Regions from separate parts of the Mus musculus genome. Here regions 2, 3, 4, 5 and 6 are each reported to be linked to region 1. Evidence: microRNA targets listed by miRTarBase, many of them from high-throughput screens and not tested one by one. Region 1 holds a microRNA gene; each other region holds the end of a gene's coding sequence. Distances are from middle to middle.

Region 1 (5,329 bases):
ATTTATTTACTATTATAACCACTTTTTAGGGAAAAAAGATAGTTAATTTGTATTTATATGTAATCAGAAGAAATATCGGGTTTGTATATAATTTTCAAAAAGAATTGTAGTTGTTTTTCAGTTGTGTGTATTTAAGATGCAAAGTCTACATGGAAGGTTGCTGAGCAAAGTGCTTGCACACTTGCTGTCTGTTTCTTGCAGCACTACTGTTAAAGTTCACAAGTTCAAGTCCAAAAAAAAAAAAAAAGGATAATCTACTTTGCTGACTTTCAAGATTATATTCTTCAATTCTCAGGAATGTTGCAGAGTGGTTGTCCAATCCGTGAGAACTTTCATTCTTATTAGGGGGAATATTTGGATAAGAACCAGACATTACTGATCTGATAGAAAAGCTCTCGCCACCCTCCCTGCAGCAAGAACAAAGCAGGACCAGTGGGAATAATTAGGAAAACTGTGACTATGTCAGGAAGTGATGATGGCATCTTGTTCTTTCTTAAGCCTATAATCCCTTCCAGGGGGCTGATCTGGCCAAAGTACTAAATAAAATATAATATTTCTTCTTTATTAACATTGTAGTCATATATGTGTACAATTGATTATCTTGTGGGCCCTCATAAAGAAGCAGAAATTGGCTTGTATTTTGTGTTTACCCTATCAGCAATCTCTCTATTCTCCAAAGCACCCAATTTTCTACATTTGCCTGACACGCAGCAAAATTGAGCATATGTTTCCTGCCTGCACCCTGTTCTCTGACCTGTCAGCTTGCTTTTCTTTCCAGGGATATGTGTTTGAACATATTTCTCCAAATGTTAAACCCATTTCAGATAATAAATATCAAAATTCTGGCATTTCATCCTATAAAACCTAACCCGTGAGAGCAAATGGTTTGTTTGTGTTTGCAGTGTCTACCTGTGTTTGCATTTTCATTTCTTGGGTGAATGATGACAAGGTTGGGGTGGGGACATGACTTAAATGGTTGGAGAATTCTAAGCAAACCCCAGTTGGACCAAAGGACTTACCAATGAGTTAGTAGTTTTCATAAGGGGGCGGGGGGAGTGAGAGAAAGCCAATGCCTAAATCAAAGCAAAGTTTGCAGAACCCAAGGTAAAGTTCCAGAGATGATATATCATACAACAGAGGCCACAGTGCCTAAAAAAATTAAAGAATGTCTGATCAGCGTCTCAGCACATCTACCAATTGGCCAGATGCTCAAACAGAGTGAAGTCAGATGAGGTTCTGGAAAGTGAGTCCTCTATGATGGCAGAGCTTTGGTGCTCAGGTTGGAAGCAAAACCTAGGGAGGGAGGGCTTTGTGGCTGTTTGCAGATTGGGGAATCCAGTGCTAGTTCCTGGCAGGGTTTCAGGTCAGTTTCCGGAGTGTGTGTCCTGTAGCCCTCCGTCATGGTTGAAGCCCAGGTCTCACCTCCTCTCCTGACCCGTGCCTTAGAACTGACTTGGAAAGCGGTGTGCTTACAGCAAGACAGACTGTTATAATTAAATTCTTCCCAAGGACCTCCGTGCAATGACCCCAAGCACACTTACCTTCGGAAACCTTAAGGTTCTGAAGATCTTGTTTTAAATGACTACCCTGGTTAGCTTTTGATGTGTTCCTTATCCCTTTAGTTGTTGCACAGGTAGAAACGATTAGACCCAACTATGGGTAGCCTTGTCCTCCTGGTCCTTCAGTCATTCTCTAATGTCTCTTGCTTGCCATGGGCACTGTAACAAACTGCAATCTTAACATCTTATAAAATGAATGAACCACATATTTACATCTCCAAGTCCTCCAGATGGGAGTGCGATCATTCCATAAGGATCCCACCTTCTGGCAGGTCTATCCAGTACATATTTTCTGCTTCATTGGTCTTGATTTTCTTGGCTAAAATTACTTGTAGCACAGCAGGCCCCATGTGACATATAGGTATATACATACATGTATGTGCATATAGTGTGTACATGTTCTAATTTATACATAGCTATGTGAAGATTATGTTACATATGTAGATGGTCGCACTTCTGATTTCCATTTAGGTTCAGAGAGAGACGTCACAGTAAATGGAGCTATGTCATTGGTATATACCCCGAGTGGTTCAGGTGTTCTCTCTATTTTTTTAAGATGGAGAACACTCATCTGTACTATCGAAAATGAGCCAAATCACTTAGCAAATTTCTAGTCACTTGCCTTGCTGTTAAGATACTGATTCACTGGGTGCTGACATGCTGAGCCCCTCCCTACTTTTTGATTGAAAGGACAAAGGAAGAGAGCTTTGCAGTAAAGAATGGTTATATTGTGGGGGCGAGGGGGGCGGCGTTATAGATCGGCATATATGTGAGGAGGTCACAACAGCCTGCACTATTCCTTTTCTGTTTTATGTCTTGCAGGGGAAGGGACAGGTAGGGTGGGGTTGAGGGGGCAGGGCACACACATCTACTTGGATAAATTGCATCTCCTCTTTCCTTCACCCCGCCACCATATCTTAAAGCCTTATGACATCCTCTAGGGCAGAATTTTCTCACCAGCTCCCCGCCCTACCAACTTCAAAGTGAACTTCTAACTAACTTGAGGGGCCAAAGTTCTAAATAAAACTTGTTAGAGTTTAGCGGGCACCTCAGTCATCAGGAATGCCTCCAGGAAAGCAAAAAAGCTTGATGTGTGTACAGCCCACGTGGTGGAGTCCTGCCACCCTATGATTCCTGTCCCAGTGGTCTGGGTGGGGCCTGAGATCCTGAATTTCTAATGAGCTCCCAGGTGACACCCTGACTCACTGTGCCAGAGGACTGCAGTTTGAGTAGCAAGGTTGTGTGGACTGTTCTTTCGATCATGGCTACAGAAGCTGGCTCAAGTACAGCCCCTTCGTGTGTAAAAGCCATGTGTAAATGAGAAGAAACAGAAGGCAAAGCTGCGTTGCATGGCATCTGAATCAGTGCCCTGCAGTTTTGTTTTTTGTTTTTTTTTTTTCAAAGACATTCTTTTTCCCAACAAGATGAGTGGCAATCTTATGTTCTAGCCACTCTTAGACATGAAAACACTGGGTTGCTTATCTTGTAAAATCTGCTCTGCTTGCTTGCTTGGGCACGCTGCAGTCAGTTTAGTCAAATGCGTGTCAGTACATCTATATGTATGAGGGAGCAGGTGCAAGTCCTTAGAAATGTACTTTAAAAAACTTGAACACTTAAGTCAGTGTGCTGAGCTGCTCCTGTGTGATGTTAGTGCCAAGCACCTGAGTTAAAGGGATCTCTTTGAAGGCAGAGGGTAGATGTCGTATGGTTGAAGCATTTGTTTATACTAAAATGATGCTTGACTTTTTTCTAAGTTATAAGACAGTACACTGTATAAGTTCATTGAACCTAGAGGGTGGCATAGGACTCCAAATCTGGTATGGGAGGTTTGTTCTAATGGAAGTTCGAATCTTTTTTGCAGTTGGCTTGGAATAAAGTGCTTATGTGAATGGGCTTAAGCTAGGGAAAAAAATGGGTTTCCCTCTGCAAAGAGGGTCAGCACAGAAATAACTTCCTGGCTTTGCTTGGCATGAATGCCACTTGTTAGCAGAATGCCCTGTGGGGATCAAGGGTAGCTTGGGCAGCACCTTACTCGGCTCTCAGAAACTCTTAGAAGCAACACAGACTTTAATATTTGTTGAAGAAATGTCAGGATGAATATATTCTTAATCTCAACCAATCTTGTTGTGTAAGACACACACACACACACACATGCACACACACACACACACACACACACGCACACACACGCACACGCACACACACACACACATGCACACACACACACACGCACACACACACACACACACACACATCCCTGTGGGTGAACAGACATGTGCACATACACACATACAAGCACACATATTTGCATACACACGTACATGCTAACAAGCACACATGTTCACATGCACGCATGCACACACATGCATGCACATCTCTGAAGGAATTTTCGTTTGCTCATGTCTAGAGTCTGAATGCTGAGGCAAGAGCATCAACCGTCCCCCACCCCACCCCCTTGGCCAATCCCTATGGATTTATCATTTTGTTTAGGTCTCTAAACTCTGAATGGAGACCCTCTGAGGTGCTACACCATACGCTGACTTTAACAGCACTTAAAAGCTTGTGTTTGCCTGTGTGCTGGGCCCCTCGCCAAGGCATTGCTGGGAGTCCATTACTGTTGCAGTCCATTCTGATGAGGAGGTCTCTCAGCAAAGCCCCGATCTGCTCACAGCTCTCCTCATAAGGAGCAGGAACTCATCTGGACCGAATTTACCCTAGAACCGCTTGGCCACAACACTATGAGAGAATAATTATTGAACTATTTTACTGTACAACTATTTCCAAATTGTTGATTTTTTATTGATTTCAGGAGGCAAGCTAATTGCCCCATGGCAACTTGATGTTAACATTTAATGAAGATCAGGAAGCAGAGTTTATGAAAAGCGTTTGTATAGCGACTGCAAAGCTTCAAGAACTGTTTTACACTTCCTGACGGGGCTGGGCCTCGCTTAATGGTTTGTTTTTATTGCTTAAGAGTGTAAACCGTGCCTTAGCCCAGTGTGTGGAAACTATACCCTCATCCCGCATTGCACATTTTCTTGTTGCTTTTTCCTCGCTTCCCATGTCATTGTACCATCTACAATCAAGACTTTCTCTTCTTTGTATGCAAGCAAGTTTCTATCTTAGACGTTGATGACACTACATGCACACACACACACACACACACACACACACACACACACGCACATGCATGCACATAGCCTGATGAACTGAATGTGCTGCTTCACTGTGTTTGGGTGGAGTTTCTGTTCAGCACTTGGTTGCTAGACAACCAAGCAGACAAAATTTAGCGATTCAAAAGGCATTTTTAAAGACGACAAATTTTGAGTGGCTGAACTCTTTTATCTCTGACTTTATGGGGAAGGTGCAGGTTTCTTTCAAAGATCTTGTCTCTTCCTGTTTTTTGCTGAGTAGATAGCTTACTGGTAGAAATTGTGTGTGTGTGTGTGTGTGTGTGTGTGTGTGTGTGTGTGTGTGTACAGCGATCATGTGTTTGCACATGTGTATTCAGGTGCACGTGCACATGTGTGCACAGCCGTGTGGAGGTCAGAGGTTAACATCCAGTGTTTCTCTCAATAGCTCTGGGCCTTGGTTTTTCAGAAAAGGCGTCTCACTGAACCTGGTTCTCATCAGTTTAGCTAGGCTGTCTGCCAGCGAGCCCCAGGGATCCTCCTGTCTCCGCCCCTTGTGTACCCCCAGCACTGGGGTCCAGACACATTACCCACCATACCCAGCTATGTTTTAATGTGGGTGCTAAAGCGCTTCATTCA
Region 2 (5,329 bases), not on the chromosome of region 1:
GGTGCACAGACAGGCAGGAAGCGGCTCCACTCCTACCGGTCTCAGATTCCCGGGGTCTGAGCTCACTCAACCTGTCCAGTTCTCACGTCTATCTGGTAACATGGTTCCACATGGGCGCAGATAATTCAGAGGAAGGCAGTCAGATGGTCAACAGACACTAAGTGTTCAGAATCATTAGCCGGAGTAACGAAAGCCTCAGGCCCCAAAAAGCATCCCCTAGAAATGGGCAAAATTAAAACGTTGACAATACTGAGACTCTGGCTAAGGACACAGATCAACTAGAACATTCAAGACACTGTCCTGGAGCATTAAATGGTACAATCACTTTGGGAGGAAGAAAACACACAAGTTGCTTTGTTTTTATAAAATCAAGCATGATCCACCATATCTTCTACCATTTGTCAAAAAGAACATAATTAACAAAAGCTGCACAAAAGTGTTCATAATTGTTTATTTGAAACACCCCAAGTTAGAAACAGCCTGATGTTCATCAGCAGGGTGACTGAATGGTGGAACTTAAGTAGACTATGAGCTTTGGATAAACACAAGTTACAAGCGTCTAAAAATACGTTAAGTTTCTAAGATAGCTACATGAGCTAAGATTCCTTTTATATTATGTCCCTTGGGAGAAGGAATTGACTGGATATTAATTCCCTGGAGTCCTTGTAATATTCACGTTCTGGTCAGGAGTTCACAGCCATTGGTGTTTGTTTAAACTCAATTTCTGAGGTGAGGGTAGAGTGGTAGGTATAGTGTTTGCAGTGAGAACCCATGTTCAGATCCCCATCACCTATGGAGAGAGCTATGATACCAGTCCAGGGATCGCAGGGCTTGCTGCTTAGTGTAGTCGGCCTGGTGAGCTCCAGGTTAACTGAGACCTCATCTCAAAAAGAGGATTAGGGAATCGAGACAGCTCAGGGGGTAAAGGAACTTACTGCCAAGCCTGAACCCAAGTTCACTCCTGGTCACCCACCTGGTGAAAAAGAATAGACTCCTGGGGGTGGGGGTGCTGGAGAGATGGCTCAGAGGTTATGAGCACTGACTGCTCTTCTGAAGGTCCTGAGTTCAAATCCCAGCAACCACATGGTGGCTCACAACCATCTGTAAAGAGATCGGATGCCCTCTTCTGGTGTGTCTGAAGACAGCTACAGTGAACTTAGATATAATAATAAATAAATATTTAAAAAAAAAAAGAATAGACTCCTGGAAGTTGTCCTCTGTCCTCCATACACACGCCATGGCACACCCATGCCCACACATGCACACCCCCAACCGTGACCTCTACCCTCCATCTGCACACCTGCACAGACACAGGGAGGAATCCTGAGGTGCACAGGCACTTACCAACTTTACTTCATGTAAAAGATGGACAGTAAGAATAAGTTGTGTTAGCTAAGCAGTCCCAGCACACCGTAAACCAGGACGGGGAAGCCTGGAGTTCCAAACAGTCTGTACTACATTCAAAGTTCCAGGCCCTGTGCACACCGACAGTCTCTGAATTCAGTCCTGTTAGGTCAGGAAGACATGTACCCTGTCATCCATCCCCTCCTGAGGGGACCTTACAGTCTTTCTACCTCTTCTTCCAAAACATCTTAAACACGGTTCAGTTTTTAACATTCTTCTCTATTGCAATCAACTTGTGACTTGAAGTAGATATTTTCCCTTAAGTCCGTTTTAATTAGAAAGTCACGGTGTGCTGAAAGAAACAGATTGCACCCAGTGAGGTGTGCACCCTTCACTCCCTCACTGCTCTCAGTCTGGAAAGGCCACTGGTCCGAGTTCCCAGTGAAATCCACCTAACACATACCTGGTCTCTCTCTCTCTCTCTCTTACTGAAAACTGTCAGCAAGGAAGAATGAAGAATCTGGTGACCTGGGTTGAAAGTATTTAGGCACATTCTGCTAGGGGCTCCATCACTGCCCCCAGGGGGCCATGGTCCAGCAGCTTCCGAGCTCCCCTAGGTGAGACTGGGCTGTGTGAAGCTGGCCTATGGACCACATCTAGGATTCCCGGTAGGGAAGGAATAAAGAGCTGGTCTCTGAGAGTCGACTGCCTGCGCAGATCCAGGGTAGGAGGTCTTAAGCCTAATCCATTCTCAAGTGCCATGTCCCCTTCAGACTGTGAGTCACGAGTATCAAAATAACACAGAACTCTGAACTTCTTCCTCAAAACAATACCAAAAAAAAAAAAAAAAAAAGAAGAAGAATACCCCTTGCATACTAAAATACTTATTTTAATGAATTTGTTTTTAATACAAATGAAAAACAAGATTCTTACCATTTTAACTACAGTTAAAACCAGAACTGGTCAATAACATATTAATTTTGCAAAGTTTTTAACTACAGATTGTCAAATATATAATAGAAAATGCAATTTAGTGCTTTTTTGTCACAATATCAAAAATAAGCATTTTTCTCGTACGTAGGTTATCAAAAGTGCCACTCAAAATCTTTTTCTTAATCAAGTAAAGTATCTGCAAGTGTGCAAGTTTGCTAAAAATTAAAAAAGGAACCGTCAGTGCTATTATATAGAAAAACCCTGTTCTGAAAAACAAAACAAACACAAAAAAAAAAAACAAAAAAGGAAAACTTTATATATTGAATATCACTTAAGTGCTTCTTAACCAACCAAAAATGCCTAACACAGACGGCAGGCCCACGTCCTTAGGATGAAAGTCATCCTACAGAACTGTAATGTTGTAACATGGCAGTTATGCACCAAATCGAGCAAATAGAATCTATCACTTAGTATGTTTGCTTGCTTGCTTTTTACTTTGTCCACGAGACAGCAGGTTTAATGTTGTATTGTCTCAGTCAAGTAGTCTGCCACATAAGGTTAGGTTCTGTGGTTTACATCAAATGTGGGAAGACAGTCCTCAGGAGAGCTGAGCATTTTCACAGGAAAACAACTTTCATTTCAGATAAAACTAGAAATACACGCACATATCTATTGAGCAGAGATACCAAATGCAAACTTGCAAGAAGAGACAGTCAAATAAACTCGTGAAGCAATGATCGCCGGAAGAGGTGCAGGACACCGTTTCAGCCATGACAGTACTTTTTGTTCAGTCACAGAGACATGCCACCAGCCTGTTCAGACCAACTGAGTCAGGAGAAACATACAACATGTGAAGACTATCTCTCTCCAGCTGGTGACACAAAACAGCCCAGGTTCCAACCACAGGATTATTAACAATAAAAACTACACCGCTAGCCTGGCACGGTGGCCCGGACCCATAATCCCAGCACTTTGGAAGCTGAGGTAGAAGGTCTGTGGCCAGCCTGGGCTACAGAGTGAGACTCCTGTTGCAAAAAGAAAACAATACACACAAATTGTAACCCTGCTTTTCTAAGGAAAAAGTAGTTTTTAAAACAAGGGCAAGAAATAAACTTCAAACTGAGACTCATATTAAAAATAATGAAAAATAATACTTGAAACTAAAATAAATTTCAGGTTTTTTTTTTCAAGCCTACAGCACCCGGTATTCCCAGGCGGTCTCCCATCCAAGTACTAACCAGGCCCGACCCTGCTTAGCTCCAGAGATCAGACAAGATCGGGCGTGTTCAGGGTGGTATGGCTGTAGACAATTTCAGGTATTTTTAATGTGTGCAAGATATATAAAATAAATAACTGTATACACCAAATGTACACTATTAGTTTATTTTAGGTTAAAAAGTATTTAGGAAAAGTTCTCCATGTTCAAAATTAAATAGGAATCGTCTTCTATATACAGGAATTATACTGGAAATATGAAGTAAAAGTTTAATTCTGCAGAATTAAAACACAATTATAGTCATTCAAAAGGTAAAAAAAAATACTGAATTTTTTGTTAAATTCTTAGAATTTTGCAGTAACAAGTGAACTTTTTGTAACATTTAAAAAATTATTCTTTTATCAATATAAAACTATCCAAATAATTATGAGAATCTCTTACACCAGAAAAATAAATTCACATGATACACTCGTGACCCCAAGAGCTACGACCAGCAGAGCGAGCGGTGTCCCTGAACCAAAGCACTTCCTCTTTTGTCTCCTCCACCCTTACACATAAGCGCTCTCTCACATCATTCACAGAACCACGGGCACACTCTGAGAGAAGTAACTCCTCCTCCTGCCTCCGACGCCCAGGGCGACCCTCAGTCTTCTTTCTTGGCGTGTCTCTTAGCACCACCCGAAGGCTCTGCTCCCCGCTTCGATGCACTTGAGGCAGAACCATTGGAAGACGGTTTGACTTCAGTTTTCTTTTCACTCGATGAAAACTGCTGCTGCTGCCGCCGGCCAAAAAGCATCCGAGTCAGGGTGTCCTCAAAGGGAGTGAGAGTCACAGCAGTATCCTTTGTCATCATCATGGTTACCTAGGGGGAAAAATTAACTTTGAATTTCAGTACAAACACTTTTTGTTTCTTAAAACCGAGAGAGAAAAATAGTGGGCAAAGGGATTCAAATGTATTTTTCATTTAATCTGTAGGAGAAAAAAATATGGTAAATTCTGGGAAAAATCTCAGATCGCTAAGAATTTAAAGATTATTCATTAAAAATGTACCTGATACTGGTACACCAAATGAAGTATAACCATTACTACCAAAACTTAAAAAGAAAAAATAACAAGAGAGAGAGAAATAGACAGATGATAGACAGACAGACAGATAAGGAAGTCAAGGGAAATGAGATATAATCTTTTTTTTAGATGAGATATAATCTTATCTAGCATCTACACATACAGCCAATACAGCTATCATTACTATATGTCTGGCATGGGTCAGAATTGTAAATACTTTATACTCCTCTCTACTTTGAACTTAATGCAACAATTAATGTTGCCTTCATCACAGAGAGGAATAGTCACAGCTCTGACAGGTTAAGTAACTTGCCCCAAAATAAAAAGCAAATTGAATGGAAAGCAAGACACAATACAGACTTGGGTTCAACTACTACTTAACAACACACTCTGGCCAATGGTGCAGGCTTTCAGGAGCTGCAGAATATATCCCAAAAAGACACTACAGAAAGCATCCTCCCACCAATCTTTTCTGCTTGAATTACTTAAGTATAGACTAACAAAGACATCAGAATTTGGACTGAAAAGTGGTTCCAATCCTTTACCTCATAAATCACACTGCTCAGCAATGTCCAGACTTGATCTAGAAATGAGACTAATCCCCTAGTGGATATGCAGAGAGAACTCAGGATCTAGCTTAGTTTCAAAGCCCTAAGACTCTGTAACAGTCAGCTCTTCCAGATCACAGGGAAAAAAAAAAAAAGAATCAAACTAGAAACGTTTGCAATGACATCCCTAAAGGAGGCCCCTACACAACCCACTTGCTTGGGG
Region 3 (5,329 bases), not on the chromosome of region 1:
CTCCAGAACTGCCAATGAGAGAACCCTATATCCAAAAAAGAAAACAAGACAAAACCTACCTCAAAAATATTTTTTTTAATGAAATGTCTGAAAAACATGTTGACCACCCTGAGCCATCAGGGAAATGGGAAACAACTTTGAGACTTCAAATATCTTACACCACTCAGAATGGACAAGGTTTTTAAAAATAGACAGTAGAACCTGGCATGACTGTAGAGAAAGGGGATCATCCTTCACCAGTTTGAGTACAAATTGATACAACCACTGTAAGTCAGCATGGCAGTTCCTCAAAAAGTTGAGAATAAAGTTACCCCATGATGCAGCTACATCCTTGGGCATATACCCAAGCTTCTATTATCTACTTCTCCAGGGTGCTGCTTCTCCATGTTAATTGCTCTATTCACAATAACCGGGAAATGGAAACAGCCTAGAAGCCCATCAACTGATGAAAAAAATGCACCTTTACACAATGGAATTTTCAGCGGTTTTAAAACATCATTCGAGCCGGGCGTAGTGGCGCATGCCTTTAATTCCAGCACTCGGGAGGCAGAGGCAGGAGGATTTCTGAATTCGAGGCCAGCCTGGTCTACAAAGTGAGTTCCAGGACAGCCAGGGCTATACAGAGAAACCCTGTCTCGAGAAAAAAAAAAAAAAAAAAGCAAAACAACAACAACAACAAAACATCATTCAAGTGATTAGATATGGCTGGGGCTGAATACAGCTCAGCAGTTAAGAGCACTGACTGCTCTTCCAGAGGTCCTGAGTTCAACTCCCAGCAACCACATAGTGGCTCACAACCATCTGTAATGGCATCTGATGTGCTCTTCTGTGATTAAAGGCCTTTTAAAAGACCTTCTGTAGATATGTTTTATGTAGCCCTGATTGTCCTGTAACTCATTCTGTAGACCAGGTTGGCCTGAACTCAGAGATTCACCGTTCTCTGCCCCCAAGTGCTGGGATTAAAGGTGTGGGCCACCAAGCCAGGCACCAACCGTTTCCTTGAAAATTATAATTTTTTTCTTCAACATATCCATGTACAACTGGTGCCCTTTGGTGCCCTTAGAGGATATTAGAGCCTCTGGAACTGGAGTTGTAGACAGTTGTAAACCATGTGGGTTCTAGGAACCAAACCAAACCCTATTCAAGTAAATGCTCTTAACTGCTGAGCCTTCCCTAGTTGCTCAACCACTTTCTGATTAAATCTCAGGCTTACTCCATGAAATAGTAGGTGCTGTTAATGGAGCCAAGAATCTGTGGCTGTATAAGTCACAGGCTTGAGCACAGGGTAAAATGAGCACAGGGTAAAAAATGACTTTTAATGACACTGCTATCCCCATAGGTAGGTGTACTGCCAACTTTCATCAGAAAAGCTTTCAGATGACAGCTGCTCAACAAGTCCAGAGTGAGAGTGTGTGTGTGGAGTGTTGACCTCTAAGTGGAACATTTCACACCTCTCTGTCCAAGCTCAGGGATCTTTAAGGAAGAGGGTACAAAAAAATTTAAGAGCCAGAGGCAGTACATAACTTCAAGGGAAAATGCTTTCAAGACACAATAGAGCAGTAAGGCATATGAACTCACAGAGACTGTGATGGCATGCACAAGACCTGTATAAGCTGAGGAACTACTGTTATTACTGCTACTGAAAGAGGGACTCAGTTTTCTTTGGTAGTGTGACCCCTAGTAGGCTGACCACATTGCAGGGCAGGAACCACACTCCATAATACAAATCAATTCAATGGGTTTAAACAACAACAGAAAACCTTGGGGCTAGATGGGTGGGGAGGTGAGAGTAAGGATGGATATGGGAGAAAAGGGTGTGTGTGTGAATATGATCAAATTTCACTGTATGAAATGCTGAAAGCATTAGTAACACAATGTTGATTACTCAAAAGGAAGTCTGACCTTCAGACCAGACTTCTCATCAGCAAGATCTTTCAGTTTTGGTCTGTGAAAATCCTAGCTCTAATAACTCACATTAAAACCATCTGTATCTGGCTAGGAGTGAAGGTGGCACAGGCCTTTAATCTCAGCATTCAAGAGGCAGAGGCAGGAGAGTTCAAGGCTGCTGGTCTACAGAGCAAGTTCCAGAACAGCCAGGCTATGCAGAGAACCCTGCTCAGTAAACAAACATTTTTTTAAAAAAACCAGCTGTTTTCAAAAATCAACTGTGACTACCCTGTGAGAGATCAGTATTTACCCATAAAGGCTGTGATTTAAGGGACACAATGATGGGCTGGAGAGATGGCTCAACAGTTAAGAACACTGGCTGCTTTTCCAAAGGACCCAGGTTCAATTCCCAGCACCTAAATGGTAGATCATAATTGACTGTAACTCAGTCCCCCTCTTCTGGTTTCCATAATGGACTGCAAACACATGGTACACAAATAAACATGCAAACAAAATAAACATTAAAAAAAAAAAAGAATCAGAATGACACCGGCTACTTTGACTCTCTCAGTTTTGGGTACTACTCCCCAGTGAGCAACCTCCCACACAGCAAGAGGCTAGGGTCAGATGCAAATTCCACAGAGCTATGGTCCAGGGCAGAGAAAGCTGTAAGGTAACCACTACAGGCCTGGGAAACAAACAGGCCCTATAGTGTGATGAGTGAGTTACTCCAAATGTTTCACTGTCTTGTGTCCTCCTGTGGGGTAGCTTCAGTGGCTTCTACCTGGCAGGGTTAATGTTGACATGAGCCCACGTTTGTTTCGGTGCTTCTGTGGAAACTATTCCCCCAGTTTTAACCTCTTCTGCAAAATGCCTGATGCTGTTGTCAGTCTTGAACCTCCCACAATGGCTTTGCCTACTTTATTCCTACTATTAGGCTCTACCTAAGATTTTGTTAGAAAACAGGCATTTCCTTAAAACAAGCTTTGGAAAAACATTTCCTGGGCCCAACACACATGAACCAAACCTCATAACTGCAATCCTCATGCACTTTATATATCGGTTTGGTCTAATTACAAGTTATTAAGCTTGTTCTAACACTGTGAACACCCAGTCAGCTATCCTAGCATCTATCCCTTTTAGTATCACCAATTCAGATAGAAAGCCAGCACATGATCTTACTAACCTAATCTTGGCAGACAGTGTTTGGGAGATCTCTGGGTGTAGGGGAAGGGTCTGATCCTGTGAGAAAGAAAGTGATGCTAGCTTGGGTCTAGGGCAATGCATGTTCTGAAAGGTCACAGAAGAGGCAAAACCAAGGCAACTGGAACAAGGCACCAGTAAGGGAAGCCAGGGCTGTGGTAGCTTCAGATTTAAAAAGGACTTGGACAGGGACACAGAGATGGCTCAGTAATTAAAGCTCTTGTAGAGGATCCAGCTTACAACTGCCTGTAGTTCCAGTTCTAGGGGATCCAACAAACACTTCTGGCTTCCTTGGGCACTAGGCATATATGCTATACAGACATACATGCAGGTAAACACTCATATATGTGAAATTTAAAAGGGAGGGAGGCCTGGTTAAAGCTGTGGGAAGCTTCCCCTTATCCAAGTTCCAAGGGCCTGAAGATAGTACCCGTAGCCTGTGCCTAGGTGTTCTGGGTTAGAGGAGTAGTTAAGTGGCTGTGTTGGAGCTATCGGGAATTTGTATAGGTTCAAGTGATCCATTTATTTTTTTCTGAATACAAATGAAAATGTTTATCTTTTTTGATACACTGACTTTTTAAAAACAGGCCTTCTTAAAAGCACAGGTAAGCGCTAATTCTCCTTGACTATATATATTCAGGGAAGGACTCTCACATCATTTAAGAACTTAAATGGGTGGGAGGCTAATTATAAAGTACAATCTTGAAGACTAGTAGCCAAGGAAGTATCTTCAAGGCTGCTGCCAACCTGTTCTTGGGCTCCAGTGACTTGCCTGGGGCAGGCTCGCCATAGCTTCTCTGTAGACAGGAGACGCTAACGTATAAGCACTTTGATCACCACAGTCCAGTCACCATAGTGTTTGCTCACACTCCAGAAGGCATCCTTCAGCTTCACCTGAGCTTATTTCCCAAGACCAACTGGACACCAGCAGTCCAACCCGAGAGCCATTACTTTTCAGGACGAGGCCACCATCTAGGCTGCATCAACCAAGACGACCAGATGCCCACGGCACTGGGGAGAAGGGTTGTTTCCACTGGAACCCCAAGGAACTTATCTTCTGTTCGCACGATCTTCCCTCCAGGGCCCTGTTCTCATCTAGGCTGCCTTCAGTTTCTGCTCCTCCTGTGGAGGGAAAACGAGCTTTGCACCATTTCATCCCTACTGCTAGCTACAGCCCCCTAGCCCTACACCTGAGAGACAACAGACATCATGCTAAAGGAGGCACCTCCCATGGCATGAGGCTGCTTCCTGCTTGCCTCCCTCTCCTGTGTGTGATGGCATTTCGAGGGCAGAGCCTCCACTTGCAGAAGGCCTCACCTTGACAGTTTTCTCCAACTGAGACAAGGCTGTCTCATAACGAGCAACCAGCGGCTGCAGGAGCTTCCTGGGGATCTCATGGTGTGTCAGCTCAGGCACCCCAGCTTCTGACACCATCTGAAGGAACTTCCTTTCCTGGAAGGGAGGCGTTTCATGGGAAGGAGTCTGATCAGGCCGGCATCTGTAGCAGCTTGGCTCTGCCCATGACGTCTGCTAAGAACTAAACAATCTTACCTGCACTTTCAAGAGAAGTGTGAATGCCTGTCCAGTTTTCCCGGCTCGAGCTGTTCTCCCGACCCTGAAACCGAGCACGAGTGTTTTTGGACAGTGGCTCCTGGCCCAGAGACCTGACAGGACAGTGCCTCTCTTGGCCATACTGTACATGACCATCATGCAGGGTGATCCTACATAGGATGACCAAGAATCCGTAATGTGGCCTATCAATGGCCACTGCCAAGTACCCCTTACCTGTGCACATAGGTCCTCAGATATTGTGGGGCATCGTAGTTGATCACCAGCTCCACACCCTGCACATCAATGCCTCGAGCAGTAGCATCTGTGCTGATAAGGCTGATGAAACACAGGCAGTAGGGCTGAGGGCCAGGAACAAACATCCACCCCTGTGCCTACTCCGCCAGGGTTAGTTCCAAGTCCCTCTTGGAAATCAGCTGCTCGGAAACTAGGGGGTCCCAACGACAACCCAACTCTATAGAGTAGGTCCTATCTTGTTTCCCTGGTACTCACAGCTGGATCTTTCCTTGTTCAAACTGCTTCAAGATTTTCTTCCTTTGGCCAGGCCCATAGCGGGAGGAGAATTCAGCCACACTCACACCCCCAAAAGCTTGTGCTAATAGGTACAGCCTGGGCAGAGAAGAAATAGAAGCCAGGTGTTACGAGAGTCTAGTGTACATTGGCTCCACCC
Region 4 (5,329 bases), not on the chromosome of region 1:
AACAACCCCTGGGGGCTGAGAATCACAGATTTAGCAGCTCCTAGGGGTACCCACCACATTGAGCTATGCTGAATTAATATTTAAGTAAACTACATTGAAACTGCCCCGACCTACAGTGTGCTATTACTAAAGGCTCAGGCAATCTTATACTTATGCTCAAATAGATGTACTTTGAATTCTGGAATGTTGGAAGGACATGATGTCATAGGATTATTTTGTCAACCCTAACCAAGAATCCAGAAGAAACTTCCTGACTTTACAGGATCAGAAAGGAATATTCTCTCATCACAGCTAAAATACAAGTAGTTGAATACAATCATATCCAAAGCCACCAACTTTGTTTGCCTGTTTGTTGATTCCAGAGATAGTTTCCCAATTCTGATATTTCAAATTTCACTCCCAGGGTCCAGGGAGGTTAGTTGGTAAATTGTAATGTGCTGTTTTTACTTGTTGAAAACTAAAACAGGAGACAGACCAGTCTCAGACTCAATCATGTTTCCTTGAACAGGAATCCACCCCCGCCCTCCAAACCCTGCAACAGGGAGGGAGAAGCAAACTACTGAGGGTATTAAGGGATCTGCAACCCTATAGGTGGAACAACATTATGAACTAACCAGTACCCCGGAGCTCTTGACTCTAGCTGCATATATATCAAAAGATGGCCTAGTCGGCCATCACTGGAAAGAGAGGCCCATTGGACTTGCAAACTTTATATGCCCCAGTACAGGGGAACACCAGGGCCAAAAAGGGGGAGTGGGTGGGCAGGGGAGTGGGGGTGGGTGGATATGGGAGACTTTTGGTATAGCATTGGAAATGTAAATGAGTTAAATACCTAATAAAAAATGGAAAAAAAATATCTAATAAAAACTAAAATAAATTATTAAAAAAAAAAAAAAAGAAAGAAAGAAATTACACCCAGGAAGGAGAGAGGTTAAGGGCACTGGATACTCTTGTAGAAGTCCTGAGTGATTCCCAGCAATCACATGATGTGACCTGGTGCTGTCTTCTGGCCCGCAGGTATATGTGCGGGGAGACCATGTGTATACATGACATGTATATAACATGTATATAGTAAATCTTAAAAATGCATCCTGAAAACTGGTAGGTGTAACATTTCCAAGGTTAGTGTTACTTATTCCGTGATATAAAAATGTAGTGGCAAAAGGGAAAAAGAAGCCCTAATAACTTTTTCAAGCACTTTGCTGTGCCCTGCCCAGAACTCCAATGTTCCATACTTTGGTTGCTGGGAACAAGGGGACAATTATTGGAGCTTATTGGCCAGCAAAGCTCAGTAAGCACCCAGTTCAATTAAGACTGCCTCATCAGGTGGCTCACAACTGCTTCTCATTCCAGCCCCAAAAGGTCAGACACATTCTTCTGGTCTACAAACAAGCGAAGTGTTACCATGTAGCCTAATCTAGCACTCATCTATGAGATTAAAACTTGACAGGCCCAGTGGTCATTCCTTTTTCCTCCTAGATTACATTCATATTTGTGGGAGAGAGGCATATCACAGTGCATTTATGAAGTCAGAGGACAACTTGTAGGAAGGAGTCAATTGTCTCTTCTTCCACCATGTGGCAAGTATCTTTAATGTGGTGGTTTGAGTAGGCACAGTCCCTAGACTGTTTTTGACTGCTCGGCCATAGGTAATTGCACTGTCAGTAAGTGTGGTCTTGGTGTGAAGTGTCACTGTGGGAACAGGCTTTGAGGTGTCCTATACTCAAACCACACCCAGTGTGGCACACACATCTTTTTCTGCTTAGAACTCACAACTCCTTAGCCAGCACCATATCTTCCTGTACTGTGCCATGTTTCTCACCATAATGGACTAAATAATGACTATAAGCCAGCCCCAATTAAATGTTCTCCTTTTTTAGAGTTGCCATGGTCAGAGTCTCTTAACAGCAATAAAACTCTAAGATACCCAATGAACTTCTTATTGGCCAAGTCCTATTTATTTTGCAGAGCAGACAGACACTAGGCATTTATCCTAAGAAGCAAAAATTCTGTTCCATGCAACCCTCCCAGCACTAAACAGCTCAAATAAATCTTTCCCAGACTTGCCTATAACCCAGCAAACATGAACTGCAGTGCAATGGCTGAGAGGACAGCAGGGCTTGGGTCTGCTTTTCAATCTAAAATATTGTTAAACTAAAAACTTTCTTCTGTGTGGGTATGTGTACTGAAGCCTTTTTTTCCCTTTAAAGACCAGGCCTAATGCATCACACAGGTGAACCTCTGATCCTTTTGCCTTCAGTTCACTAGTACTGAGATTACAGGTGTGTACTATCACACCTTGTTTACATGGCAATAGGGTTATAACAAGGCTTGTGCACACTAAACGTAATAGTTAACTTCTGTCAACTTGACAGTATTTTTTTTTCATTTATTCATTCACCCAGGAGAAGAAACCTCAATTTAAACATTTCCAAGATTAGAGTGGTCTGTGGGACATTTTCTGCTTCAGTTCCTCCTTGAAGTCCTACCCTGACTTTACCTCAGGTATGACTGTGACCAGGAAGTATAAGCCAGATACTTTTTAGTTGCTGTGTTCAGCAACAAGTAAAACAGAATACCAGGCAAGCACTCTACCAAAAGCTTTGTCTCCAGACCTGAGGCACCTTTCAACCTTTCAAACCCAATTTTCTAAGAAAAACAGGGGCTTTGGAGATAGTTCAGCTGTGACATGCTTGTGAGGAAGCAATTTACTCCATGGAACTCCCATTTAAAAAAAAAAAAAAAAGCTAGGCATGAAGCAGACAGTGGTGGCACACACTTTTAATTCCTGGCAGATTAAATAGGCAGGTAGATCTTTCAGAGGCCAGCCTAGTCTACAGAGTTCCAGGACAGCCAGGGCTGTTACACAGAGAAACCCTGTCTCGAAAAACAAAAGGCCAACTATGGTAATCCATGCTTATAAAACCAGCACTAGAAAAGTAGATCCTGAGAGCTTACTAGCCTCACATATACATCAAGTTCTAGATCAGTGAGAGATCCTGTCTCAAAAGTTAAGAGACTGGAGAGACAGCTCAATGGTTAGGAACCCCGTTGCTCTTATAGAAGACCCAGGTTCAATTCCCAGCACCCACATGGTCCCAGGGTATCCAACAGGCAGGTAAATGGTACACATGCTGGGGAAACATTCTTTTTAAAAAAGATAAACAACACTCAAACACTTTTACCTACTCATGAAAATAAAGTCCTTTTTAAAATTCCAATGTTGCCTTTAAAGAATGAATCACCAAGTTCTCAGAATTCACGTTTAATAGATACTTAAAAAAAGAAGAAAAAAGAATTAACAGGTTGTTTTCTGTGACTGATAGAAGATTGGTCTGCCCAAAACACAGCTCAGACCATTACCAATAGTGGAAGAAAGGCTATCCATCCCCAGCCCTGTAGGAAAGGCTTATCTGGAATCACACCACATCATGTGTTTAAGCACGAGTAGAGTACAAGAGTTTCTTCTGGCTGCTCAATGCTGCCTGGCAGAAAAATGGTCCAGTGCTCACTTCTGCTTAGAGAAATACTCTTTGCTCTTATTGACATCAGGCTTGATGGTATCACTGCCAGGTTTCCAGCCAGCTGGACACACTGCCAAGAGAAAGATTTTTAATTAGTAACCTGTTTAGCTGTGTATTTCCCTCCCCTTCATCCTTGTATGTCTTCTGTGGCACATGCTGACAGGCTATGGTAAAGATATGGAGGCAAGCAGGTTATGAATTTGAAGCCAACCTAGGCTACACATTGTTTTATGGCACACACCTTTACTACAGCACTCAAAAAGCAAAGGCAGTCAGATCTCTGGAAATAAGTTCAAGGCCAGCCCTGAATTCTAGCCAAGTGAGACCTATCTTGGCCAAATTCCACAGGCTAGACTGGATGATAAGACTCTGTCCCTCAACTCCCCCCCCAAACCCAAAGCAGCTGGAGAAGACAGCCCACATCTGACGGTGTGCAACTGCCTGGCACTCAACACCTTCTACATGCATAATTCTAAAAATAAACTTTAATTTAAAAGTCTGATCCTGGGGGAAGAAAAAAAAATCTGATCAACTTTGAAATCTGCCACTCAGGATTTTGGTATAGCTAACAATGTTTAATTACACCTCACTACAGCCTATGATATTTATCTTTTATTTTCCTGAACCAATTGTTATCTCCAAGGCTTGCTTTGCTGCCTCTGTCTGCTAACCTAGGCCTAGTCCTGAAGACGTCTAGCCTCTGTACAATCTTACCTAGGCCTAGAATGTTTTCAGCTTGAGGCTTTCTGATCTCTAACTGGCTATTCTACTCAGCTCATCTGGCTCAAACTCCTCTCTAGGCTAACTAATTCAATCTCCTTTCCCTCTCCGCCTCTCTTGAATTGCTCTGCTTAGTTTCATACTAACATTGGCAAACTCTTCTAATCTATACTATGCCTATAATAACCTGTCTAAAATATACATGACAAGCCACTAAAATTTGTAGATGTGTAAGTATTTGTACAATTTTATACAAGTTCTGTACAACTTTTTATATGCTCCAAATACTACTAAAATGTTTTTAAAGGGGGGTGGAGTGGGAAGAGGTGATAGCAAAACATCCAATGAAAGGCAAAAACGCAGCAGGACCTAGTCTCAACCAAAACCAAACTTAAAACATGCAATAGGGGCTGGCGAGATGGCTCAGTGGTTAAGAGTGCTGACTGCTCTTCCGAAGGTCCTGAGTTCAAATCCCAGCAACCACATAGTGGCTCACAACCACCCATAATGAGATCTGCCGCCCTCTTCTGTTGAGTCTGAAGTCAGCTACTTACATATAATAAACAAACAAACAAGCATGCAACAGAAGGTGCTAGAGCCCCAAAGACCAACCAGGAGCTGACTCCAATGCAATCGCATTAGGGTCTCTTTATTATAAACTCAAGTTTGGGCCTACTCAACACCAATCCACAGGACCAGTTGGTGAAGCATCCCTGAATTCTCATTGGGACAAGGTTTTCTAGGAAATGGGAGAAAGTGAGGGAGTACCCATCCTGCCAAGTATCTAACTGAATGACTTGCAGAGGACAAGTGGGTGATCTGAAACAAGACCCCACATAATCACTAAGTACATCTCAAACAGACTAATGGCGCTGATTAACTGTTGCTAAGTAGTTAAGTAGCTAAGGAGTTAACTCTAGCCAAGGATAAGTCTGGAGTCCTTCCTGGTACTAAGGTACAGCTTGAGTGCAGCTGTGGGTCAAGTTCTCAGGCTACCTTTTGCTTTTTCTTTTAAGATGGAGGCCCAAGATGCAGTAGGTCTGGCCTCTCAAGAGATCAGCTGGAATTCTACATATAAGAAAAAA
Region 5 (5,329 bases), 33 Mb from region 1:
CTCTCTCTCTCATCACACACACACACACACACACACACACACACACACACACCACCTGTCCCTTCCCCACCACCCTCACCTTTGGTGCTGAGTGTCTTTCCAGCAAGCTCCTTCCTGACTTGAAGTCTCTTTTCAAGGCTGCTGCATTTAGTGAAGTCTCTGACATGAGCATGAGTGGGATGATTCTCTTGAACAGGGTCACCTTGCCAGTGGCTGCACCACTGAAAACCTCAATTCCCCTTCTCCCAGCAACCATTAAGGGAGCAGTCCTGCCCAGGCCCTCAGTCTTCCCTGAAGGGTACTTTACTCAGTGAGCTGTCACCTCTAGTTCCTTCTCATTTTAAGCTTTAATGACATAATCAAATAGCCCCTAAATTCCACACTCTGTCCTCACTCTAGTTGCTAAGGCTCTACAGGAGTTTGACTTGGCCTTAAGAGGAAAGAAGAAAAGGAAGAAGTTTATGAAGGATGCCAAGAAAAAGGGGGAGATGACGGTGAGTGGCCTCCCTGTGGAGTAGGGTCCCATGAAGCACTGGTGTGTTCTGTGCTCATCCCTCACTCTGCCCCCAGGCAGAGGAGAGGTCCCAGTTTGAAATCCTCAAGGCACAGATGTTTGCAGAGCGGCTGGCCAAGAGGAATCGCAGAACCAAGCGAGCACGGGCAATGCCTGAGGACGAGCCTACAGGCCCTGGTAAGTGATAGGGTGTCCATTCTGAGGCTCGCACCATGGCAAGAGCTGGCAGGGATGGCAGTGATCAAGCTTTGGAGGAACTGGGATGTATCCTTGAACCTGGCCCTCCATGGATTCTGGAATTCTCTCCCTCAGTGTCAGGGAACTCAGTAGCCTCTGACCCATTTTTCTCTGTGTATAGCTAAAAAGCAGAAGCAGCAGCAGAAGTCTGTGTTTGATGAAGAACTCACCAACACAAGCAAGAAGGCCCTGAAACAGTATCGGGCTGGGTAGGTTTAAAGTGCCGCTCACACGAAAGCACCCTTGTCCATGCTCGCTCACTCTGCCTCTTGCCTAGCGCTTCCCAATGCTGTAATGATGAGCAGAGCAGAACTTAGTGTGCTTCCATAAGCCCCCTCATCCAGACAACTTCAAAAAGCCTCTGCCCACTGATGTGAAATTGGTGTCTGGCTTCCAGAACTGCACATTGTTCTGCACAAGCCCACAGGAGACTGAATCCCAGGCACTGCACTCCCCTCAGGGTACCCATCCCACCTGGGCTGGCCTGTGAAGCCAATATGGGTGACATCCCTCACGTGTCCCACAGCCTACCCATCTCATTCTTCATCTGTCTTACAGCCCTTCCTTTGAAGAGAGGAAACAGTCAGGTCTGCCCCGCCAGAGGAGAGGGAACTTCAAATCTAAGTCCAGGTGATGTTGCACTGTAGAGGGCAGAGGCAGTACCCATGGGCGGAGAGGCAGGCTGGGTGGGAGGCAGTACTTATAATATTGATTTCCTTAATAGGTACAAGAGAAAGAAGTAGTCTCAGTGGTGTGAAGAAGTTGGTGGGACAATTTTATATCCCTTCCCTGTGGGAAGTCATCTTGTCTTGGTCTGGTTTTTTTCCATATATAAAACCCCAAACCTGGGGCTGGAGAGATGGCTCAGACTGCTCTTCCAGAGGTCCTGAGTTCAATTCTCAGCGACCACATGGTGGCTTATAACCATCTATAATGGGATCCGATGCCCTCTTCTAATGGGTCTGAAGACAGCTACAGTGTACTCACATACATAAAATAAATAAAATCTTTAAGAACAGCAGACCTTCTTGAACAAGCCTGTTGTCTGTGAATCTGTTGGGTTAGTATCTAGGAGCTGTTTCTTAGTGTTAGTCATTTATGCATGCATGCCTTTTTAAAAATGTGAGCATCTCACTGTGTAGCACAGGCTAGCTTGGAGCCTGCTGTTAAGGCCTCCAATTTGTGGTACTGTAGAGATTGTTGGGGTTACAGGTACGCACTGCTGTGCCAGGGTTCCCTTCCTGACTGGCTTCCCTACACATATTAAATGCAAGTAGTCTATCTGGTGAGTTTAGACTGCCTTACCTCCGTTTGCAAAGGGCCTGTTCTCCAGCTGCATGCCCTGCTCACAGCTGCCAGCTCAGGGCTCTGTGTTAAGTCAAAGCTCACCTGCTGCTGGGCTGTGGGTCAGACCTGGCTCTGCCTTTGGTGGGAAGATCTCCATGTTAAAAGATGGGGCCGGTGAGAAGTCTTAGTCAACAAAGGCAAGACTGACCGGGGCTCCATCTTGGGGACCCAGGCAGTGGAAGGAGAAACGCAGCCCCTCCCTAGTGTCCTGACACCAATGCCCACCGCATGGTCAAGCACAGTGAATGTGCTAGGAACAGCAAGCAGTGTAGTCTCGGGACTCAGGAGACATTTGCTGTACTTAGAGAATGTTACCATGGGTAAAATTTGGCTCATCAGTTAAATGACCTCCACTACCAAAAATGACATGCCTCACCATAGGCTGTGCCCTACCCACAATTGCTAATCAAAGTTAGGAAGAGAAACAAACCATGGGTCTAGGATGGTGATGGTTGTTGGACACAGCTGAAACCTTAGGTGCATCAGTTATCAATACAGCAACAAAGCAAGCACAGATAAGAGATGACAGGCTTTTTTCAATCATTGTTTTTATTAATTGGCTTTATAGGTTAAAGTGCATAGTAAAGACAAAAAAAGGAAATGCATACAATAAGAAAGGGGCTTTCCTAGACAACATTAGAAAGGACCTGAGATGCCTAAATCTGTTCTAAGGAACATGGAAAGAGATGCAGATGCAGGCAGTAGGCCTGGAGTCGGGGCCTGCAGAAGCTGCTGGCATGCTAACCCTACCCAGGCAAAGGCTGCAAGGGAGGGTGCCTGGATAAAGACTCACAGGAGGTGCTGCTGACACTGAACCTGCTGACACCACCACCACCACAGAACCTCTCCTGCAGAGAGACACATCCACCCCTGCTATCTGAGTGCAAGTTTGACGAGGGTGCAGGGGTCACTCAGCTTGTGTCTGCTGTGAAAGCCCCGCCCCACTGGGGACAGTGAGTATATAACTGGGCCATGGAGAGTTGAAGTGCCTGTCACAGGCCTCCATCTCCAGGAGGGCAGGAGCCCAAGGAGTAGGGTGCCTGGGTTCTTGTGCTCCTTGAAGGTAAAGTGGTTCCTAAAGCTCTCTCTGGGTTGCTGTTATTACAATGGTAGTATGCAAGTTAGGGCCTGGACATGAGAAGCAGTGCACCCTGGGCACGCGCAGAAGTGCTGGCCATGCCAGGACCCAATCACCCTAATATCCCCGGGTGGAGGCCGGAAGCTCCCAGGAGTCAGTCCTACTTGCTACAGTCGAGGAGCTGAGAACTGTGGGCTCTGCTCAGTGCTGGGGGTAAAGTGCTTACTCTAGCGCAGGGTACATATAGAATCACATGTGGGCAAGCCCTAAAAGTGGATCCTTAGACAAGTGCGAAGACTAAAGGACACTAATAAACTGGTTCCTCCATGGAGGAGCCAACCCTGGCTCTGAGGTGGCAGGGCAAAAGGCCTTGAGGTGCCATCTTCTACATCATCCTGTGGATCTCCTCAAAGTTCATGAAGTTGTTGGCTGTGTTCGACCAGGCAGGGTGCTGGGCTCCATCCATCTCAGAGGCCAGGTGGTTGCTCCTCTCTAGAGTGTGATTCTCCCCACCGATCACCTCCTGACACTCGGGACAGGTACTCCTTTGCATGGCGCCCCCACACTCAGTAATTACATAGATGTGGCCATTGGGGCACTTGAACCAATGCCCACGAGGAACACCCATGGCAGTGACAATCTGCACTCGTTCCTCATCTGAGATGCCCAAGCCAGAGCAGGGAAGGGTGGTTTTCAGAGCATCCATCTTTTTCTGCACAAGCTGTTCATCTTCCTGGGTGAACTTACTTGTCTTTTCAAGAATGTTCCGGATGCTGGAGACCTCTTCTGCTATGCTGCCTTTCACCTTCTCGGCCATCTTGCAGCGCATCAGGAGGTTCACCAAATAGGTGAGCCTCTGGATTTCACTCTGGAGGTCACTCAGTTCCTGGCTGCTGAAGCTCAGGCGCTTCTTGGCCAGCCACTCGTGGACCTGCTCAAGTCGAGTCCTCACGCTCTGCTGTTCTCCACAATGCACCTTCTCCAGTGACCCCTCCAGGTTGGCCAAGTGGTCATAGAAGCGGATAGAATTCTCCACCAGGCCCAGGTCCTTCACTGACAGGTTTTTCTGGGCCAGCTTCTCTTGAAGTATTAGGAATTCTTCAGGACGCAGCTGATGGAAGAGGGTCTTGCTCTTCAGCAGGGCCTTAAGTTGTTCCTGGCTGGTTGAAATCTCCCCTGCAGAGCCCTGGATCTTCTCCTTGACAATCTCGATCTCTTCCAGCCGCTGTTTGATGCTGGTTCCATACCTCAGGTTTTTGCGGATGGGTACCTGACAGATGGGGCAGACTTTCAACTTGATGGCAACTTCATCATCCTTCTGCTCATTCATGAAGCGGTCCAAGGCTTGCACTTCAAAGATGTGGCTGCAGTCTTCTAGCTGCACAAAGCGGGCATCAGGCTCATCCTCAAAGCCAAAAAAGATTTGGGTGACTTCATCTGGTTGGCAGACACGGCACTTCTTGGGACATGGCTCCCCACACAGACCGATGCAAGGGTGGCCACAAGCCAGCAGCTTGGTACAAGGCACGTAGCATGGGGGCCGGTTGCAGGGCTCTGAGCAGAGTTTGGTGCACTGGTAGTGCTGGCAGCGCCAGACGCAGGGCTCCACGCAGGGGCTGCACAGCTCCCCACACTTCTTCTTGCACTGGCTGTGGACACAGCGGTTCTGACATGTTCGCTGGCAGGGTGGGCACTCACCAGTGCAGGGCTCCTGGCACTTGTGTGAGCAGATGAGCAGGCGCTTACATGGCTGTTGACAGCGCTCATGGAAGCGCCCTTCAAAACAGCTGTGACAGGAGCCTGGGCAGGGATGGCCGCAATCTAGAGTAGTGTCACACTTGGTGGTACACTTGACTGGCAGACCATATTTTATATCTTCCACATTGCCACACTTAACCAGTTGACTGTGCCCACATTTAAGTTCCACGGTGACCCTTTCTGAACACAGCCGCACACAATCCTCACCACAGAGATGGCTGCATCTGTGACCACATCTTAGTATCTTGGAGCAAGGCTCCTGGCAACAAAACTCTGACTCTGACATTGAACAAGGGACCATCTGTTTGTGACCACACTTCAGAATGATTTTGGGCACTTTCACCTGACAAGGCTGACACTCTTGGAAGCAGACATTTGGGCACCGGTGCCCATCC
Region 6 (5,329 bases), not on the chromosome of region 1:
CTGAGTGGAGGTGCCTGCAGGGTCAGAGGTATTGGATCCCTCTGGAGCTGGAGTTACAGTCAGTTGTAAGCTACCAGATGTGGTTCTAACTCTGACTAATGCCAGAGCCGTAGGTGCTCTTAGCTACTGAGCTATGGCTCCAGCCCCAAAATAATGTATGCTTTAGATTACTGTTGTTTTTATGGTTATCACTGTGTGTGTGCATGATGTGTGAACGCAGGTGTGTGTATGCCACGTGTCTCATGTGGAGGTGAGAGGCATTGGTGTTCTCTTTGCTCCTTAACACAGAATCAGGGGATCAAACTCCAGTCGTCAGGTTTGCACAGCAGTGCCTGTTGGAACCATCTTGCCAGCCCCTAGGAGCTAAATCTTGCAGGAGCCAATTACCTCTCTTGGTTGATAGGGTAGCTTTGTTTACAATGAGGTCACATTACAATCCTTAACTAAAGCCCTCAAAAACACAGGAGATGCACTAGCTGGCTCCCCTACACCCCACTCTCACTAAATTCCTTGACCGATACTCGAACAAAACCAGAGAGAATTCGGTTTCTTATTAATAGAACAAAGAAGGGTGTGCATACGCCTGGATTCTACCTGTTGCACTTAGGTCAATAGCCAGGACCTGTAGCCAATCATATTCAAGGAGCAGAATGGCCTCAGCCTGTGAGATGAGGCACCTATGGAGGTTGGCACTGGATACTGTTCCATCTGTGCCTGGCTTCTGGCACTTGGGAGCCATCACTGGCCGCTATTCCACTGACTTCGGTCCTATGCTAACTTAACATGCTTGGGGAGGGGATCTTCTCCACACTGCCATTTCCATATCAAACTGATGCCACTCCATGGTCTACCCACTGCAGACAGAGCCCGTGCCACCGTTCTTGTCCCCATCCCATCAAGTAGGGCCAGCAACTGCAAAGCAACTCTGAAGTCAGACTTCCACCTGCCACCAGGTCCTTAAGAACAAGAAGGAAAGGCCTGTGAAGACAGCTCAGCACAATGAGTAAGATCTGCATTCAGACCCCTAATGCCCACAGAAAAGCTGGGCTCACTGGCACACACCTGAGGCCCGGGTGATGTGTGTGTGTGTGTGGCAGGAGAGAGCATGAGTTAGACCCCCAGAATCTGCAGGCTAGCAGTCTCATCAATCAGTGACCTGTGGGGAGAGACCCTGCCTCAGAATGCCAGGTACTGAGCAACAGAGGGGACAACCCATCATCAACCCCTGCTCTCCCTGTGCACACACAGGTATACACAGGTACTGGCACATGTGTGTGTGGACACTCACACACATACATGTGGACACTTACACACACACATGACTGGAGAAGACATCTTGGAGAGGGATCAAATATTAAGGACACATTCATGGAGATTCAGTTTTTCTCCCTCACTTTCTTTCTTTCTTTTTTTTTTAAAGTAGCCTTTTTCTTTATGTTTTCCTTTTTCTTTTTGTTTATATATTTTCTGGCCCTGCTTGCTCCGGCCTTATTTATTTTATAAATGTGAGTACACTATTGCTCTCTTCAGATACCAGAAGAGGGCACCAAATCCCATTATAGATGGTTGTGAGCCACCATGTGGTTGCTGGGAATTAAACTCAGGACCTCTGGAAGAGCAGTCAGTGCTCTTAACTGCTCTTCAGCCCTCTCCCTCACTTTCAACAAATGAAATAAGCCCGTCTTCCACCCTTATTTTATCAATAGGGAGACCCCACCAGATACAGGTCAATGTCCTATGTCATAGGGATAACCTGGCCACTGATCTGTATTGTGTTCTCTGAAACCACCCTCATAACAACGGGACCCCACACCCCTCTCACACTCCCTGTGAGTGGCAGCCCCAGCTCCTCAAATCAGTGTTAGTCCTTTCTCCTCAGCCCCATTCTAATGAACAACTCTGCCTAAGGCCAGGCATGGTGGCACACATGGCTACTCTACTGCCACGAACACCACCAGGTAAGGATTGGTCCCTGGGCTCAGATGGACTGGACAGCAGCAGTGGGGATGGAGGGACTGCGGCTTTGCTCTTGCCCTTTGCCTGGCAGTCATCTGGGAGCCCAAACCTGTGGCTCTGCTTGTCTCTGAGGAATGATCCTTCCAGGCAAGTGGGTGTCTGACTTACCCAAGTCCTTAGCGTTGTTTGACACACGTGTCGAGGGAACAATCCTATTCAGAGAACAGCAGTCAGGGAGAAACAATAGAGGGCTAGAGAGATGGCTCAGCGTGAGCGTGAGTGTGTGCGTGAGTGTGAGCGCTAACTGCTTGCAGAAGACTCAGGTTTGGTTCCTAACACTTACATCAGACAGCTCATACTGCCTATAACTTCAGTTCCAGGGAGCCCAATGTCCTCAGGCCTCTGAGGGCACCTGCACACACGTGGTACACACAAATAAAATAAAGATCTTCTTTTTTTAAAGAAGAAATAATAAGAGCCAACAGATGACTCAACAGATAGAGGCATTTGCCACCAAGCCTGATAGCCCGAGTTCAGTCTCTGGGACCCACATAGAGGAAGAAGTGAGCTGCATCCTGCAAACTGTCCTGACGAGCATTTATCAGCAGCAGCAGCAGCAGCAATGTGTTGTGGCACACCTGTATCTAAGTGCTTGGGAGGCAGAGACAGAAAGACTGCTGAAAGTTCAAAAGTTCAAGGCCTGCCAGTGTATACACTGAGATCCTGTCTGAAATAAATCAAAAGAGGAGGAAGAAAACTGTGAGCTTTCACAAGTGGACACACGTGCTTCGGGACTGTCCGCCCCTTCTGCTTAGACAGAGGTCACATCATCCCGCAGAACTGCAAGGGCACAGACAGGCACTAGCTCACCTGAGTGCCCCACGAACATTCAACCCCCAGTGTGGCCTCTCTGCATCTTCTGGCTACTTCGCCCACCTGGGCCACTTCCCCTTGGACCCAATCTCCTCTCCAGAGAGGACACACTGTGGAGCACGGAAGCCTGGACCTGCTGGTGTCTACCCTGCCTACTTGCACCTTATTGCTGGTCTAGTGTAGTAGATGTTTTCCCACTTCAAGGGTCAGGGTTTCTGCCTGGAGCATATTGGGAGGAAGCCGCTGCTTAACAGACTGACGGACACAGCATGGCACAGATAAGAGGGCGTGTGGACTCTGAGAGGAGACAAGACGCACTCACAGCTGAGTCACTGAACAGGACGAGGAGCACAGCGGCTTCCTCGCAAGGTCCCTGTGCAGCAAGGTCCCTGTGCAGCAAGGTCCCTGTGCAGGGAGCTGGTGTGAGCTGGCACGTGACTGCCGCCTCACCCCCCCAGGCTCACTCGGGCACCTGACAGATGGCGTGTATGCCGGCTGGGATTCAGATCCACAGCTGCCTGGTTCTCAAGCCCGTTCGTTTCTTTCTATACAGGTGGTCATCTGAGGGGACATCTCTCATGGGGCTGGGAGATCGGTGACGGGACCTCCAGAATAAATTAACTGCCTTCAGGGCAAAGTAAAAGAACAGATAGGCAAAAATGAGAAACACAGAGAAGAAGCAAAAAAACTCCAAATTCTCCCCAAATTGCATATCGTTTCTGTCTGGAAAAGCAGACATAAAAGACGCTGGAGACATGGCTGCAATGACGAGAACCACCTCACCAAATGTCAGTTACGATTTCTTGCTTTCAGCCAACAAGATCAAAGAATATTCCAGAACTGATGCTGTTCCAAGAGCAGAAGGCTTCTCAGTTCCAAGTGACTCCAGGGCAGCTAAGCGCTCGCCGTAAGCTCCAGACACTCAGTTTTGTTTCCTATACTGCAAGACAGAGAGATGAGAGACGGGTGAGGGAAGCCATGGGGGAGGGCTCTGTTGTGTCACACGGGCCTCTCCACGACTGCAGGGGTTTCTGGGAGGTGGTGAGACTCCATCGGGAGACCCTTCACCTTCACATCGAGTTGGTGCCTAGGCCCTCCTTCTTTAATGAAAAGGCTGGGAGGCCGAGGGCACTGGGACTAAGCATGGAACTCACCAGGGCTCGGCCTTATTCTGAATCTTGTTTGTGGGAGAAAAGTCCCAGGCAGAGGAGACCCTCAGACACCCAGGGTCCCCAGCCAATCATCGAGGCTTTCCTGCCTTTGTTTTGATTTTTCTGTCAGGGATAAGCCCCAGCGGCTTCTGCACTAGGCAAGCAGTCGACCACTGAGGTCAATGCCCTATCAAAATCTGTTTTTACAAAGTGGATTTTAAACCCCACATCTGGAGCGTCTGCGCTAGGACAACAAGGATCTGGGGGCACACTCCAGTTCTCCACATTCCTGGTGCCTTTATCCCACCTACAGTCTAGGTGTTGGTCCTAGACAGCAGCCTAGTCTTGATCAACTTCACACAAACTCGAGCCACCTGGGAAGAGGCACCCTCAGCTTCTACCGGATTGGCCTATAGGTGTCTGTGAGGTATTTTCTTAATAAATGGTTGATATGGAGGGCCCAGACTACTGTGGGTGGTACCACCACCAGGTCCTGGGGTGAATAGGGCAGCTGAGGGAGCCATGGGAACCAAGCCAGTTAGCCGGCTTCCTTTAAGGTCGGCTTTGGGGACCGGAAGGGGGGGTGGGGGGGACAACCATAAGAGATTATCTTCCTACCTAGGAGGAGTGCAGGTGCCTCTGTTTTCAACTGTGATGCGCGAGCGCCCCCTGATGGCCGAGGAGGTTACAGCATTCCCATTCCAGTGCCAGGGCCAAGCAAGCACTTACTTTGTTCATGATCCAGTCGGCATCTTCAATGGCTCTTTTAATAATCTGCTGGATTCTCTCGGAGTTGTCTTCATCTGAATGAACTTGGAAACTCTGTAGGTTTCAGCACAAACGGACATGGCCATGTGAAATCCAGAGCTTTAGAGAGCCCAGTCCCAAGAGACCGTGAGGCACTGGTCACCTAGCTCTGCTGAGGTGTGCTCATCCGGCCCACCCTGCTCTTAGACCACAGCTTTGGAGCCCTAGTTTATTTGGCAGCGGAACTGTCAGTGCAGCCCGCAGGGAGGCGAAAAGGAGACCCAGCCACTGGGCAGCTAGGTTATTTGGCAGGGCCAAGGGGAGCCACAATCTCTGGGGTTGATTTGCTCAGCACAGGAATCTACATCGATGGAAGTGTGCTGGGGAGGGATTGGCCTCGATGCCACTAGGTGCTGGTGCTGGGAGAGCAACGGGGAAGGGAGAGAAGGCACAGGGACAAAGGACCCTGGGAAATCCGGGGGGCTTCTGACCAGTGACCTAAGACCTGTGAACCTCAGGTTTCTTCCAAAAGAATGGAGTCCTCCCTCCCTTGATTGTGCTCCCAAACCCACATTCACTTTCCTACTCATCCCAGGAGCCCA

The links. The annotated mature microRNA mmu-miR-3090-3p reads UCCCAGGUGACACCCUGACUCA and lies in region 1 at 2,743-2,764, shown strand. An mRNA with a match to its seed (bases 2 to 7 or 8) in the 3' UTR can be bound and repressed. Matches are read on the target gene's strand: a 7mer-m8 pairs with bases 2 to 8, a 7mer-A1 pairs with bases 2 to 7 and ends in A, and an 8mer does both.
Region 2: miRTarBase lists Tmem38b as a target of mmu-miR-3090-3p. Seed matches in the 3' UTR shown: 7mer-A1 at 3,486-3,492 and 7mer-m8 at 3,166-3,172.
Region 3: the mRNA of Ddx51 is a reported target of mmu-miR-3090-3p. Seed matches in the 3' UTR shown: 7mer-m8 at 2,283-2,289.
Region 4: miRTarBase lists Prdx1 as a target of mmu-miR-3090-3p. Seed matches in the 3' UTR shown: 7mer-A1 at 3,097-3,103 and 7mer-m8 at 3,068-3,074.
Region 5: the mRNA of Ddx27 is a reported target of mmu-miR-3090-3p. Seed matches in the 3' UTR shown: 7mer-m8 at 1,595-1,601.
Region 6: miRTarBase lists Lyrm9 as a target of mmu-miR-3090-3p. The part of its 3' UTR that is shown has no 7-base or 8-base seed match.

What each region holds. Positions count from the first base shown.
Region 1 is chr2:133,562,018-133,567,346 of GRCm38, forward strand. It overlaps Mir3090 (microRNA 3090), which reads left to right and starts at 2,691; the gene lies at 2,691-2,777. Bmp2 (bone morphogenetic protein 2) reads left to right here. Exons shown (of 3, transcript NM_007553.3): 3 at 1-879.
Region 2 is chr4:53,858,908-53,864,236 of GRCm38, reverse strand. Tmem38b (transmembrane protein 38B) reads right to left here. Exons shown (of 6, transcript NM_028053.2): 6 at 2,219-4,355. The coding sequence ends at 4,137. It also overlaps LOC115490001. Among named protein-coding and RNA genes, the nearest start is that of Tmem38b, 36 kb to the right of the region's middle.
Region 3 is chr5:110,656,464-110,661,792 of GRCm38, reverse strand. Ddx51 (DEAD box helicase 51) reads right to left here. Exons shown (of 15, transcript NM_027156.3): 11 at 5,152-5,268; 12 at 4,876-4,977; 13 at 4,642-4,705; 14 at 4,408-4,542; 15 at 1,297-4,212. The coding sequence ends at 4,186. Among named protein-coding and RNA genes, the nearest start is that of Ddx51, 5.7 kb to the right of the region's middle.
Region 4 is chr4:116,697,436-116,702,764 of GRCm38, reverse strand. It overlaps Prdx1 (peroxiredoxin 1), which reads right to left. Exons shown (of 6, transcript NM_011034.4): 6 at 2,765-3,594. The coding sequence ends at 3,509. It overlaps Mmachc (methylmalonic aciduria cblC type, with homocystinuria), which reads left to right. Exons shown (of 4, transcript NM_025962.3): 4 at 1-331. Among named protein-coding and RNA genes, the nearest start is that of Mmachc, 8.3 kb to the left of the region's middle.
Region 5 is chr2:167,033,164-167,038,492 of GRCm38, forward strand. Ddx27 (DEAD box helicase 27) reads left to right here. Exons shown (of 21, transcript NM_153065.3): 17 at 400-494; 18 at 571-691; 19 at 873-960; 20 at 1,310-1,381; 21 at 1,476-1,782. The coding sequence ends at 1,494. It overlaps Znfx1 (zinc finger, NFX1-type containing 1), which reads right to left. Exons shown (of 14, transcript NM_001033196.2): 14 at 2,630-5,329. The coding sequence ends at 3,562. Among named protein-coding and RNA genes, the nearest start is that of Ddx27, 21 kb to the left of the region's middle.
Region 6 is chr11:78,837,563-78,842,891 of GRCm38, reverse strand. It overlaps Lyrm9 (LYR motif containing 9), which reads right to left. Exons shown (of 4, transcript NM_001076681.2): 3 at 4,710-4,802; 4 at 1-3,769. The coding sequence ends at 3,752. Among named protein-coding and RNA genes, the nearest start is that of Lyrm9, 14 kb to the right of the region's middle.